Mytilus edulis: one gene and its partner. The protein of the gene in region 1 interacts with the protein of each later gene in a pairwise test. Links are inferred from orthologs where the notes say so. Each region holds a gene or a part of one and is shown on either strand. Other genes may lie near its edges.

The links.
Region 2: the proteins of exocyst complex component 7-like (region 1) and pre-mRNA-processing factor 19-like interact in a two-hybrid assay, tested with the Homo sapiens proteins (2 studies listed by BioGRID and IntAct, with this or other methods). The link is inferred for Mytilus edulis from reciprocal best matches to the Homo sapiens genes EXOC7 and PRPF19.

Annotation. Positions count from the first base shown.
Region 1 is NC_092352.1:1,656,873-1,663,961, reverse strand, and holds the start of exocyst complex component 7-like, read left to right. Parts: upstream 1-4,017; 5' UTR 4,018-4,124; coding exon 4,125-4,175; intron 4,176-6,356; coding exon 6,357-6,522; intron 6,523-6,607; exon of another isoform or gene 6,608-6,666; intron 6,667-7,089. Other genes in the region: WW domain-binding protein 11-like, read right to left, coding at 592-685, 930-961, 3,536-3,599. UniProt on the Homo sapiens protein: Component of the exocyst complex involved in the docking of exocytic vesicles with fusion sites on the plasma membrane.
Region 2 is NC_092349.1:80,858,181-80,865,876, reverse strand, and holds the start of pre-mRNA-processing factor 19-like, read right to left. Parts: upstream 3,070-7,696; 5' UTR 3,029-3,069; coding exon 3,010-3,028; intron 1,773-3,009; coding exon 1,623-1,772; intron 685-1,622; coding exon 608-684; intron 1-607. UniProt on the Homo sapiens protein: Ubiquitin-protein ligase which is a core component of several complexes mainly involved pre-mRNA splicing and DNA repair. Required for pre-mRNA splicing as component of the spliceosome.

The sequences.
Region 1 (7,089 bases):
TGATATGCATTAGGTCTTCTTGTGCTTTGAGAAGTTGGTTGGTTTATGATTTTTTTGATTTTTTCTTATTCAACAACAATATAATGGCACATGCTGTTAACAGATTTCTTCACTTGTACAGCTATTTCAGTGGAGATCCCTGTGTATAAGTACCTTAAGACTAGGGTATCCTCAGGTAGTACCTTAAGACTAGGGTATCCTCAGGTAGTACCTTAAGACTAGGGTATCCTCAGGTAGTACCTTAAGACTAGGGTATCCTCAGGTATATACTTATAATTTTGTTAGTATACATTATTTATCATTAATACATAATTTCTCTATTATTTTGCTATTCTAACTTTGAATATGAAGATTATGTATATTTATGAAAAAAAACTTTATTACACCATCAATTGTTACTATTTGATAGATGTCAAGAATAAAACTGAATAGCGGATTATAGAGTGTGTTTGGAATTTGGTTTGAGGTTTTAATATATTTCTATGTTGTCCAGTATAATGGTTTTTACAGTTTTTTTTGTGTGGATTAATAACTTTCACCACATGTTTTTGATTTCTACTATAATTATCATTTCAAGTTTATATTTTTTACCCATCTTGTCGATAATTTCCATCTCTGTCAGTAACTGTAGTGGATCTTTTCCCTTTAATACAGCCTGTCGTACTAGCATACGCTGCTTCTTGTTCTACAATTAAAACATAAATCATTTCAAATAAAGGGAAACAAATTTTACAATAATTTTTTAATTGACATACATATCAAACTATAAAACATGAATTGTTTATCATATATATGTATCATTGGACAAAAGTTAAAAGTTAAAAATTTTAAATAAATTTCAGGGCTATTTTGATTGATCTGAAATAACGGGAACAGCAACTTTTTATAAATTAAAAGCTGAAATTATAGTAAACATGGTAAATAGTTACCTTTTTTAATTCCCTCTTTCTTGCCTCTTTTCCTGTAAAAATAGAAATATGATACAAGACATTAACACTAATTTACTTCAACAACCAGCATGATAAAAGAATCATTTTTTTCTTTAATGCTTTATGTAACTCACTCATAAACATGATAAATAGAACCCCAAAAATTCTGTCATTAAGAATGAGTTGCACCAGCCAACCGGAGATGTTGTACATGTTGTAAATGACATAATCCAACAACTGGTTCTTACTGAAAGGTAATAACATAAGCATTGTAAGATAAAGAGTATGATCTTAGAAAGTCATCAAGAGAGCAAACAAAATTACTAGTTATTCTGTTACACGAGAGAGGTTTTATCTTTAACAAGCTACATTGTATATATAAAAGAGCAGAGTTCCAATGTCCCCTGTGTCGCACATATTTTATCTATCCAAGGGCAATTACTGAAAAGAATTTGTTCTTTATTATTTTTACAAATACATGTTTCTTTAGAGAAATGAAAAAATATTTGATCAGCACTGATTTTCAGCCTGATCATCAGCCTGATCAGAGATGATAATGAACCATAGTATATATCATGTATATATATATATATAGCTATAACAGGTAGAGTACTAATCATAAATCAGTTATTTTGGTCCAAACTTTAATTTGTAACAATTATGGATAAATGATATCAGTTTGCATTTCTGGGAACAGTTCATAAACCAAGTTTGATCCAACATTTGCTTCACAAGAAAATACCTGTATCAAGTCAGGAATTACATTCATTTAATGGATTTGATCTTTTAATTTTGCAATTTGATAAGGGTCCTAAGATTTCCAAGAGAACTCCCAAGAATAGAGTAATGACCAGATAACAAATAGATGTTTCCGAAAAACTACCTTGAAAATAAAATATGGTGTTATACTGCTTTTACCAATAGACATGATAGACGTATTTACACTTGTATGCAAATTTATCTCTCAATGAGTAAAATCACAAAAGTTCCTGTTTAATAAGGGATTTTTTGCCTTGGGGTTCAGTTTTTTTGTTAATCTACTTCTTATAATATATATATGTAGGACTCTAAAGTGCGATGGTCTACGCTAAAGTATGATGGTGTATCACGCTAAAGTGCGATGGATATTTGTTTGCTAAAGTTCGATGGAATATCACACTGAAGTGTGATGGACCAAAAGGGTAATGTTGACTGGCAAAAAACGTTGAAGAACACGGATGGAAAAAAAAAGAAAAAGAACACAGATGTTAATTAATAGTCTTTTTGCAAAAGCTAGTAGGATTTTTTTTTTAAATTCAGGCATATCAAATATTTTGATAATTAGCATAGCTTGCAGTTCACATGTACATGTAGTCTATCCCTTATGTGATCACCTTGTCATCGTAAATTACAAATACAAAATTCGTTCATTCATGTCATGTAACATTTATTTGTTTAAATCTTAATTCAAATGAGAGAGAAATGCAATGTTCTCCGAGCTTTCTCCTTTTTCACAGCGAGTACAAATACAGGTTGTATTTTCCTAAAATGTACAAAATAATGCTTTAGCAGACAATTTATGATTTATGCATGAAAACATGTACCTCTACTTTACCGACTTTTCAATAAATTGACAATATTTTAACAGGGACCGCAAAGTAAACTGTAACATAAACAATGATTTCAATGTATCAGTTAACATTACCTTCTAATAGAAGCAAGAAAAAGTATACTATTACTTGTGGCTATAACAGTCTGCACCAAAAACTTTTTCAACTACTAGTATGAAGACCAATATTCCAACATTTTTCTTATTGGTCCAACAAAGTTTTGCAATAACTTACTAGTCCATATAAAATTTTACTAGTCTTGGGCATCGGACTAGTGGCTAACTGTGCAGACTGGTATTATTTTGTATCTGTATAGTAAAATGCAAGACACTGTCAACGTATATTTGTTCTGCCTAACAGAAGTTCCAATGGAAACTTTGTTATAAACATTGTCATAATATCTTTTCTTGTTGGAACAAATATTCTATACCACTTCCAGAATATTTTTTCCTTTTGGAACTTATATTATGAAGGAACTTCTATTCCGTGACAACACAAGTCCTTCTTCCAGCACCCGATAAAAAAAACCATTTGCATCAGCAGACAAAGCACGGGTAGGTTTAAATTAAGTAAGTCATGGACATTTGGCTAAAGTTGTCAATCAAATATTCTACGTTTATCTTTCAGCATGTTAATTTTTTTTGTATAAACGACACGTCATAATCCATAGTACGTTTATTACTTCTATACTATCGCTGACCATCGCACTTTAGCGTGTGTAGGCATCGCACTTTAGCAAAGACCATAGCACTTTAGCGTGACCATCGTACTTTAGCGTCCACATTGCACTTTAAGTCCTACATATATATATATATATAGGCTGTTTTTTTAGGTTTATGAGTTTTCAAAGTGAATTGGTTATCAAGGGTAGTATATGCTTGTATGTTTCTCTCATGTCTCTTTGCGATGTGCTGATGGATCGTTGTACAATGTACATGTTGATGCTTGTTTGAATTGTGTTTATAAGTCTTCTTTTTGAAGTTCAATTAAAAAAATTGTTAGTTATAGGGTACTTACTGGCTTGGTCAGTGGGATTCATATATTTCCCACTTTTAGTGGTGTTAATTGAGCGGCGTCCCATGTTGGTATCTGCGTGATGACACCAACTTCAAAATAATGTTACAAAGTTTGCTGTCAGTCGCAGTAACTTGCAAATAGGATTGAGTGCTAAACTGAAACCAACAACATATCTGAAAATTGATAAAAGTTGTAGTCCTGCTCAATTGATACTACAATATTCATTTAAACGTCGAATTTAAAGCGTGATATTTTTTTCCATTTTTATCTTGCCGTAAGTGGAGCTAATGTTGCAAATAAAAAAGTTTTGTTATTGTTAATTTTTTGCATATAAGAATAGGCTGAATATACCGTTTGAATTAATATAAAACGCATTTATATCTTAAAATATTTCTGTATTTAATAAAAATAAAATAAAAAAATATTACGACATAGTCTTGCTCTTTTTGATGCTTTATCAAAGGAAAATTGTTATGGTTTACACAAAAATCAAATTGACTACGAATGCATAAAAATTAGCTGTCTGCTTCCCAGGAAGCTCAAGAAAATTGCTTTGTTTTGCCATTTAGGAGTAATAAGCGACCACAAAATGTCACAGACAAAGATATTCAAAGCAGACATCGACATGAAGCTTGAAAAAGTACGATTTTTCTATAGTTTTTTTCATGATGCCTTGATTGAAATTATATGGGTGGATCATAACATTTGCTATCCATCAGCAGCTGATCAGTCATACTCATAAGGTTGCTATGACTTTCAAATTTTCCAGATGCAGATGTTTGTCTGTACTCATTGCAAATTTTGAGGTGAAAACGCAGCCATTTTAGTCAAAGGGTAACCAATTTCACTTAAACCTTAAAGCAGACTCAAGAACTAGAAAAAAAAACATTAACTCTCATATAACAACATAGTGGGAGGATAGGATCTTTATCGGGACTCCAGGATCAGGTGTTTTTAAGCTCAGGATTTCAGGATCACATTGAAACTCGAATTTATTTATATTCAGGACCTCAGGATTTCGTGTTTTTAAGCCTGTGATTTCGGGATCAGGACCCCTCTTAGCTGCCCTCAACATACATACATCCATGGACTTTTACAGTCATTCAAACTTTCTATATACAATTTGACAGTGGAACCAGTTCCCCAGGTACCATATATACTATTTGCATCTCATTACAGGACATCACAAAGGTTCCTGTTAAATTTTGACGTCATAATACAAAATATCTGAAGCCACAATTGAAAAGTGATTGTTACATGATGTCAATAGTTCAAGCGGAGCAGATTCTCTGGTCAAACGGGACATATTTCCAAATAGGGATACGATGTATTGATAACATGGAACAGCTCACTTCAGCTGCTGGTCTATTAATAAACTGATAACACCAAAAAAGACTGACAAATCTACATGTAGTACACCAAACACAACATAAAAAAATAAAGACTAATTGACACAAACCCCACTAAAAACTGGAGAAGATCGCGGGTGCATTGGAAGTGTTAGCTGATCCTGCTCCACGTACGGCACCTCTTGTGTTTCTCATGTTAGTAGAAACCAGGTCATACATGTACATGTCATATTTAAGTCAAAGCAGTATTTCATACTCTTGAAAAGGGAACAGGCTTGTACTAAATTACTTACCACATAAGGCTCATATCTGCTACATGTATATCATCTGTGAAATTGATATTCCATAACCATGATAACGGTCAACTAATTAGTGATGGCTTCCGTAAAATTTACAAAGGGATGATTTATAATTTATCACATGGAAATTGTCCAATCTGTAATAATAAAATTATTTGGTGCAACTACCTTATCAACCTCCAATGTACAAAATGTTTACGTAGCAGGAAACATTTCAGTATGTTATTTGTTGCATTAATGGGGTAAAATAAAATCTGTTTCTTGCCTCCCAATAGACTAGTTTCTAATATATATGTAATAAGTAGATTTAATCAATGAACTGCCCAATTGGTCTAAGGATATTGTGAAATGATTTGTGACGTCTAATTATTCTAGGATAAAGCACATTTGAATTGACAAATACAAATTGCTGTTGTAGTTGTACTTACATATTGTATGTATGGTCAAAGAGAAAAAAAGACAAAATGACAAACACTGGTCAACAAAATATTTACATGAATTTAAGACACACAACGCAAAGCTAACTTATAACTATGGATAAGGCAGCTTTTTTAGGCCTTGTCCCCTGTTAGAGTAGACAGGTCCTGCTACACTAGTGGCACACCATGTTATTCATTTACCACAAGGAAAACATGTTTTAATAGCATCCTTGTTTTATGAGACTGTCATACAAGTGAGAGGTTTAGCTAGCTATAAGACCAGGTTTAATCCACCATTTTCTACATAAGATAATGCCTGTACCAAGCCAGGAATAAGATAGTTGTTATCCATTCATTTGATGCCTTTGTGCATTGATTTTGCCATTTGATTAAGACCTATCCATTTTGAATTTTCCGCTGAGTTTAGTATTTTTGCGATTTTACTTTGTACTATCAGATGTCCATGATAATTTCTTCTATGTATTATTTGCATACATTGTAACTCTTCAACAGCCTGTGAAGCCAGTATTTCAAACAGTCAAAACTAATGTACCCACCTGCTGATAGTGTGAGTCGGCAATACCAAACAAACATTGTTTTAAGGGTGGCCCCAGCTATTAAAATTTTCTGGTACTTTTGATACATTTCTGCATGCAAATAATTGTAACCCTATAGCTATCCATTGACCTGTCAACTGAAGAATCTTAAGGTTTAAAAAAAATAAATACTAACTATGTCAATTATATTATTTTAGGAGAAGAACAATTTGTCAATACTTAAAGAGGCCATGAACAAAAGTAGAACAAACACCCATGGTATGCTAGGGATACTTAATAGTTTTGAGAATCGTTTACAGAAGTTAGAAAGTACAATAGAACCTGTTTACAATGAAACAGAAATGTTGAGACGCAGACAAGAGAGTATCCTTCTTATAATCAAAATTATAAAAATGTATAGTATTTTATTGTGCTACCTTAATTTCATGGTTCTTTGATCATGTTTTAGTTTAAGCTCTGATGTTAGATCGATGTCTAGGATACTTCAGTACAGAACAAAGATACAAAGTATGTACATCATCTTTTCATGATTTAATGAACTATCCAAAATACAGATCAGAAGGATGGTGTTATCAATGTATATTTGTCTACATTACAAAAGTTCCCCTGTTAGCTCAGATGCTCGATAATAAACAACACCATAATATTTGTTCCTTTTGGAACAAATATCCTATAACCTTCGTTCTGTTTATATAAACAAATACTGTAATATTTCTTCCATTTGGAACTTATATTATAAGGAATGTATAAAATGTTTTATTTCATGCCAGTGTGACCATATTTTTGTGAACTTTCTAATATATAATAGTTTTAACAACAGTTTAACCACATTTTGTGATTAAGTGAAAAATGTGAAATTTTAGACCTGGCATTAAAATGACCAAACATTCATGATTCATTGATCATTATCATTGATTATGAAGTTTTGGA
Region 2 (7,696 bases), on another chromosome or scaffold:
TCACACGGTATAGCTGACTTATATAAATCCTGAAACCAAATTTCAGAAATCCTTGTATTGTAGTTCCTGAGAAAAATGTGACGAAAATTTTCAACTTGGCTATCATGTGTAAAATCATACAAGTGTTCGGTAAACATGAAGTTGTTGAGTGATCAATCTGAAAATGCATCACACGGTATAGCTGACTTAGATAAACCCTGAAACCAAATTTCAGAAATCCTTGTATTGTAGTTCCTGAGAAAAATGCGATGAAAAAAAATATTCATGGGACTGACGGAAGGACAAACAGAGGTAAAACAGTATACCCTCCCTTTTTTAAAGCGGGGGTATAATAAATATTCTACATGTTCTATATCTCAAAAAAATTCAAATAAACCTATAATTATTTTTTCTTTTAAACTTATGGATTGTAAATAGGCTAATGATATTTTTTGAATCTTCATTTTTAATTTGAATATATATCCGCAGCAAATCTCATTAAAGTCACTTCAAAGCATCTGAAAGTTATGAAAGTATACAACCAGACTTAATTAAAACAGATAAACTAAATGTCTGAATGTTTGTTTAATTTATATAGATTGGGTGTTAAAACAGATAAACTTCTTACCCATTCATCTTGTAAAACCTTCAAAATGGCTGGAATACTAGTGGCAGAAGCAGGTCTTGGTTTTACTAGAGGGTTAGCTAAAAATAACAAAATACACTTGTAATATATTATCCAAAAACATGACGAACTAATCATTTACATGATGAATTTGTTCAATCCATTTAATGATCTTTATTGTTTCTTTCTAAAGAGAACACAGATGTTCACATTTACAATGATTTAAGAAAGACTAATATTATCAGAAAGCATATCCTATGAGATAATATTAAAAATCAGTAAATTTGGAATATGCTTTCTCTTTTTTTCTTGGTCTGATGTAAAAAGGATTGGTCAAATCAAAAATTTGAAATATAAACAGGAGCTTTTTATCTAATGTCAGACTGAGAGTTCAAAATAAACAAAACTGTGAAACAAGAATTGATTTACTTTGTAAACAATTTTGTAAATTTCGATGAGGTTAACTAAATATCACTCTACCTATATGTGCTACAGGGGAAAATTGTATGTTGACCTCTAGATGTCTTTCAATTATTTTTGTGATTGGATTATTGTTGCACTGGGAAATACCCAGAATCTTCTTTATTTAAAGTTGTTCACCACTCAGGACGTTGATTCCTTTGGTCAATAAGAATGACTGCAATGACTTTTTCTAAATATTACATGCAAACTTTTACTGCTGCATAATCATGATAATGTTTGAGAGCATTCTTTTTCAGTATTAATTATATTTTCTATTAAGAGTGCATATCTTTAAAACCTCCTGAATTCTGTACCATTTTTATAAAGGGTCCATGTACCTTAATCTTATATTTCAATATACTGTATTATGTTATTAGGTCATTAAATAACCTTTTTTCTCCATTTCATACATCGTTTATGGTTCATGTCCTCCTTTTTTATGCATGTACAGGAATCCTGTAAGTGTATTTTCTTTTCTTTCCTATTACATGTCCCCTTTTGAAAGCATACACTTGAATTTTGTAAGTTTATTTTCATTACAAGTCATGCTACTTACCTTTTATTTCTATGAGTGTTTCTACAGCTACTGATTCTCCATTCATTGGATCAACTCCATTCTCCTTTATATATTTCTCTATCAGTCTTTTCTCATAGACATGTCCTGACACAGGAGATATAACTGGCTGTTCTGGAACTTCATTACTGACTAAAAGAATATGTGTCATTTGTATCAACAATAAGCAATCATTGCTTGATTCTCAATATGTTCTAAGCTTTCTTGATGAGAAAAGCCTATTCTACATGTACTTGTGTGCTTTTATAACCAACTATACAGTATTGTTTTTCTCATAGTTAAAAGCCATATACATGTAATTTCTTACTTCCTATATTATTTGATCTTTGGTGGATAGTTGTCATACACCTTATTGCTATTTGTCCGCCAAAGATCAAATAAATCGGAAGTACTGTATAGTTGGTTATAAAAGGCCCCAACATGAAAATATGAAACAATTGGACATTGGTCATTGCAAAGGTTCCCAGAAAATGTTGAAGTCACATCAGAAAATATCCGACACCACAATGGAAAAGTGATTGTTGTATGAGTCAAAGTTAAACCCATGTTAAAACTTGCATCAAGCAGAATGTAAAGATTTTTGGAAATCGTCTAGAGAAACATTGGAAAGAACACCCAATAATAGGCTCCTTCACGGTTAGTTCAGCCATATTGAATAGGGGGCAGATTGTCACTAAAGAGATAAAAGTAGTGTGAAAAATGAGGGAATACATTGTTAAAATAGAGCAGTTGCTTAGAAACATGCATAGGATTTCCCATACTTTCATACTGTTTCCAACTCTTTGATAAAAATCTGCCCCCTATCCAATATGGCTGAACTAACTGTGGAGAGCCCTATTTAAAACTTTGACACTGAATACACCTATAACACCGGAAGTAGCACAAGTGTAGTTAGTGACGATGAACCAGAGCCAAATATAGAGGATCAAACTGATCTCCTGTGTATGGAAAAACTTAGGTAGACAGGTAGATCTCCGAATTGCGATAAGGTGTTTTGGCATCGTACCGTAATCTCCTTATTTTCAAAAGGCAATTCAAATCATTTAGGTATTCAATTACATGTGACATTTCATTGGTGTTAACAAGATTTCTTTGAGATTGAATGTTTGATGTTACCACCTCAACAAAATGCTCATTTATAAATTTGTATCCATAAGCATCATTTTAATCTACGATTCTCATGCCTGTTTTAAGCCGGCATGGCAAGCATGTTGTTGTATGGTGTGTATTTTGAGAAGTACTGAAATATAAATTGAATGTAGACATTCATTGATATTGTGTTAACTTGTAGCGATTGCTGAAATGCAGTAGATGTAATTGGGATTCGAAATATATGAGAAAACATTAGATTTTTCTTTTTCTTTCTTACTTGCACAGCAAAGCGCCATTTTGAATATGTCACGTGATGAAATTATAAATTCAGATCTATAGTCGGAAATTAATCCGGATAATAGTGTGGCCACTAAAAAAAAGTCCACATCGATATATAAATATAAAAAAAAAATAGATATGATATAGGAAAGCACTAATATCAAAATTTGATGGGTGATTGTTATTTAAGAAAGCTTGTTCTAATATTTAAAGGAAATATTGTTAAAAACTTATGCATGGTGGGGTCAACTTAATTGCCAGTAAAAAGTAAAAGTTCCTTCAGACCCCTCCCCTAGATTTATTTTTGTGAAAAGCGAAGATGTTATTCATCATCGCTTCATTTAATTTTCTGACGAGGTGAACACAAAGAAAATAAAGTGACTGGGGATATTTTTTTGATAAATATCGATTTTACTGGAAATGATAGGACATTTTTTGAGTGGGAACTCTTTTATGTCCACTGACTGTATATCATTTTAGTGACATATATGTCTCGGATATTGGTCAGTCCCAGAAGAATCAATAACCGAAAAGATAGGGGTTTTTTTATTGTGAAAAGACATAAATATGACTTATGTTAAAAAAAATACCAGTCAATAAATTCATTTAAATTCTTTACTTATAGAATCTTTTATTATTCCAATTTCTGATAATCTATAGTGATTCATTTCTAACCATCGATAAAGTCTCAATGCAATCCTGGACTATTCAGTGTACTTAATAGTAATATAGTTCCATCAGTATAGAAGTATATGTTAGTACTGATCTAGAAAAAATATAAACGAAGCATTCTCGTCCCCAAAATACAATGCAATGATTGAACTACAAAGCTACACTACTGGTACAACCGTTACTAACAAAAAGGCAGCGCCTATTAGGGCCAAAAAAAAAAGATTTACTTGAAAGACAAATTCTATTACATGTATGTACCTAAGTATAAATATTAACGTAAAAAGCTCAGTGTTAATTATGGCACCCTAAACGGAGTTTGGGTGACATATTGTTATTCTACGTTTCTTTTTTTCTTATTATTTTATTTATTCTTCCACACATTTTGTCCATGCTATTTCTCAGAATTGGCTTGAACAATATTGATGGAACTATACCATAATGTAGACCACTATATGAAATTGTGCAAACGGGGTATGGCATCATCAAGATGGCTGCCGTTGCCATGGAAACTGATAAAATGTGAAAAAAAATGCAATTTCTAAATCTTTCATTATAAGATCTAGCTGGATGAAATTTTATGGTAATGTTCCTTGGTATGCCTAGATGTTGTGACAATATTAGGAAATCCCAAAATGGCCACCATTGTCATGGAAACAGGGCAAAGGTTTAACATTGGCCCTAAGGGAAAACATTTTGAAGCTGCAGTTCCTGCAAGAATATTAAATCAAACCTTCTACAACTTAATCAATATGTTACATGGCATGTCTCAAAGTTGCTTCTGTCTTTGAAATTTTGGAAATGGTACCCGTAACCATTGAAATAGCAAAAATTTCAAAAATTTCAAAATGCTCCAAAATTGACGAAACTTTACAAAAATGTTAATTGGCATGTGTATATGTTATCTTTGACTTTGAATTTTTCAAAATGGCTGCCGCTCACCTGGCAATGGGGGAAGGGTGCCATCCGTTATTGCTAGCAATTACAAATCTAGTTGACATTGTTTTTATGAATTCTTGTCAGGTGGGGTGTCTTACTTCCGCAAGAAATCTCCATATTTGTGATACAATTAAGTGAAGCGTTTATGAGAAAGTGTCGTAAACAAAGTATAGAAATCATAACTGTCAACGGAGACAAACAAACAAACTGTCTAATACTAGTACATAAAAACAAAAAGCGTTTAAGGCTGATGGAAAAGTTAATATCTTACAATATTTGAAACCTAGATTTAAAAAAAAAAGATTTCTTGTGTTATTTAGGAAAACATGTCTCAAGTCAGAAAGCTCTGGCCTTTGTTAGTCTTGTGTGTATTTCTAATTTTTAGTTCGTTTATATGTTTCGGAGTTTAGTGTGACGTCCATTTTCACTGATTGAGAACTAATATACACAATTTTAATTAGGGACCAGATGAGAACCACCTCTGGGTGCAGTATTTTCTCGCTATGTTGAAGACCCATTGGTGGTCTTCAGTTGTTGTCTTGCTCTTTGGTCGGGTTGTTGTCTCTTTGACATATTTCCACTTTCCATTCTCAATTTAATTATAGTTGATGCCTTTGGTGTTCAGTAGCATCTTTAAGTTCAGTCGTTGTTAAAACACGTTCTTCAGCGATTTTTCTGGAAGAGGAAGTAGGTACGCACTTACTATAATTTGCTCACTGTTGCTATCTCAAAATTGATTTATATCAGTAATAAAGTACTTAGAAAACACAATGCCTCACTCGGCGTGGTCGCATGGTACCGTGGACTGGATCAAACCAAAGACTTGAAACTTGAGTATTTGCTGCTACTCCGCTAGACGCGTGACACCCTAGCTAGGAGTAAGAGCGAACATGTCAGCCTGGATTATGATTAACGTGTCTGGTTAGGGTGACTTGTCTTCCTGAGGACTGTTTTAGATCGTGTCTCGTGAATTAGAAGCTTAAAGTTCGGCTCAGCATGCAGGTCTTGCACAAAGAAGGGTCCATATTCATATCGCATTATAATGTACTCGCCCTGAATATATATTTGATTTGCATGCAATGGAAGTTAAATTTTAACAGCCATCCATATATCCATATTATAAAAAAAAAACAAAAAAAAACAAAAAAAAACAAAAAAAAAAAAAAAAAAAACAGTATTCCGAAATATTTCATCGCGGGTATCATCAGTGAGCACTAGCTCACAGTTTTACTTGTGAAACCTGCTTTAACATGAAATACAGTAAAACCTACAAAAATGTAAAAAAAAGAAATGTTCAGAATCCATATTTTATTTTTCTATATTTACAGAGGGTACCAATTTTCATAGATTAAACCAAAAAATGCATTTTCGTGGATATTTGGATTTCGTGATTTTACAAAAGTCTGCATACAAGTCTATAGAAAATTAGTGGTTTGTTGAACATTTGAATATGTGGTTCGCCTCTACTCACAAAATCCATGAAAATTTGTTTCTTACAAATAATATCGAATCCATATTATTTTGGTTGTTTGTGGAGTTAGGGTAGCCCCTTCTTGCCCTCTCAAAACCATTTAAATGGAATAGTCCTCATGCTTGTCAATTGTAAGAGATCATAAATTAGGCTTTGGTTTAATTGTAATATCTGGTTGCTATTTTGTAGATATTTCATTCTAATCTCCTTTTGTTCATATTGAAGGAGATATAAGTTGACCATTGTAAACTCTCGAAGTGTTCTCAATGTGTTAAATGTACTGGGTACATGTAAAACAGAGAAAACCTACAGAAAAACAGTTAAGATGGTCATATTTTATTTTCACATAAAAACAAGCCTTTTGGTTTATTCATATAACATATACATTAAACTAAAGGCAACATTTTTGGTGTAATACATTACATATAGCTATCATTTCTTCATGAGGCCAAGCAAAATAAAATTAGAGGGCCGTATTGTCCCACTTGATCATAATATTTTATATGAGAACATAATGTACTTTGTTTGTTATGGCTTTTAGAAAGGGCTTCTATTTCAAATTGAAAGTGAAAAAAATAAAAAATTTCCAAGAACACTTTTTTCATACTCATTGGTGGCCGGGTGTGAGAGCATTTGATCTTTAATTTTGTTTGACCTGCGTTATCAACATCATTTGTATGAATGGAAGTGGTAAACATATGTATGATGAGATAGAAATTATTTTATGTTTAGTTTGTTGACTTTTGTGTGTTGTAGTTGTTACAGCAGAAATATGTCAAATACCACCAAATATTTTCATTTTATAACAGTCAGTTGTACTATGTAAAGAAGGAACAATCCATTTTGATATGTAATTCTGTAAAGACAGCTTTGTAATCAAGAATAAACAAATGTATAGTGATGGTTGTTTTTAATGGCTTGAAGTTTGCCTGGAAATTACTTGTTCATGTGAATTTTACAGCAAAAATATTCAAGTGTTAACCAGCATTTATTGCAGTTGGTAAATAAAATAAATTTTATTTATCAAGATATATTTTATAAATCATTATTAAAATCAATATAGCTCAGACTCTATGTTAGAATAACATTTGTTACATAAGAGCAATTTGAATACATGACATTTTCAGCTCTTAGATATTGAAAAATAGAAAAAAAGAAAATTGGTTAAGACATGATAATATTATTTACATGAACAAAGGTATCAGGATCAACAGCTTTATAGATGTACCTTGATAACTGAGCAGTGTTGACCATTTTATATAGCTCTTGATAAGTAGATTTGTCTTCATGCCAGTATGATTTATATTGTAATTCCTACTGTAAGGGGTTTCATACTTGATTGTTGATGTTATCTACAGTATTGTGTCAAAAGTTGCAGTTTTAGGTAAGTGGTCAATTTGTATATACAAATGTAACTGTTACTACTGCTTTTTAACAAATAAACACTTGGTGTTCTTATTGTTCTTATTTTTTCCAAATTTTGAGAGGACTACAGTACAGTTTCAACAAAAATTAAAGATTAGACAATGACGAAGAAAATTGGCGAAGACGCATTGAAAAATGTGCATCACCTGACTATACATTTCTTTCATTTGTCAAAATTTTG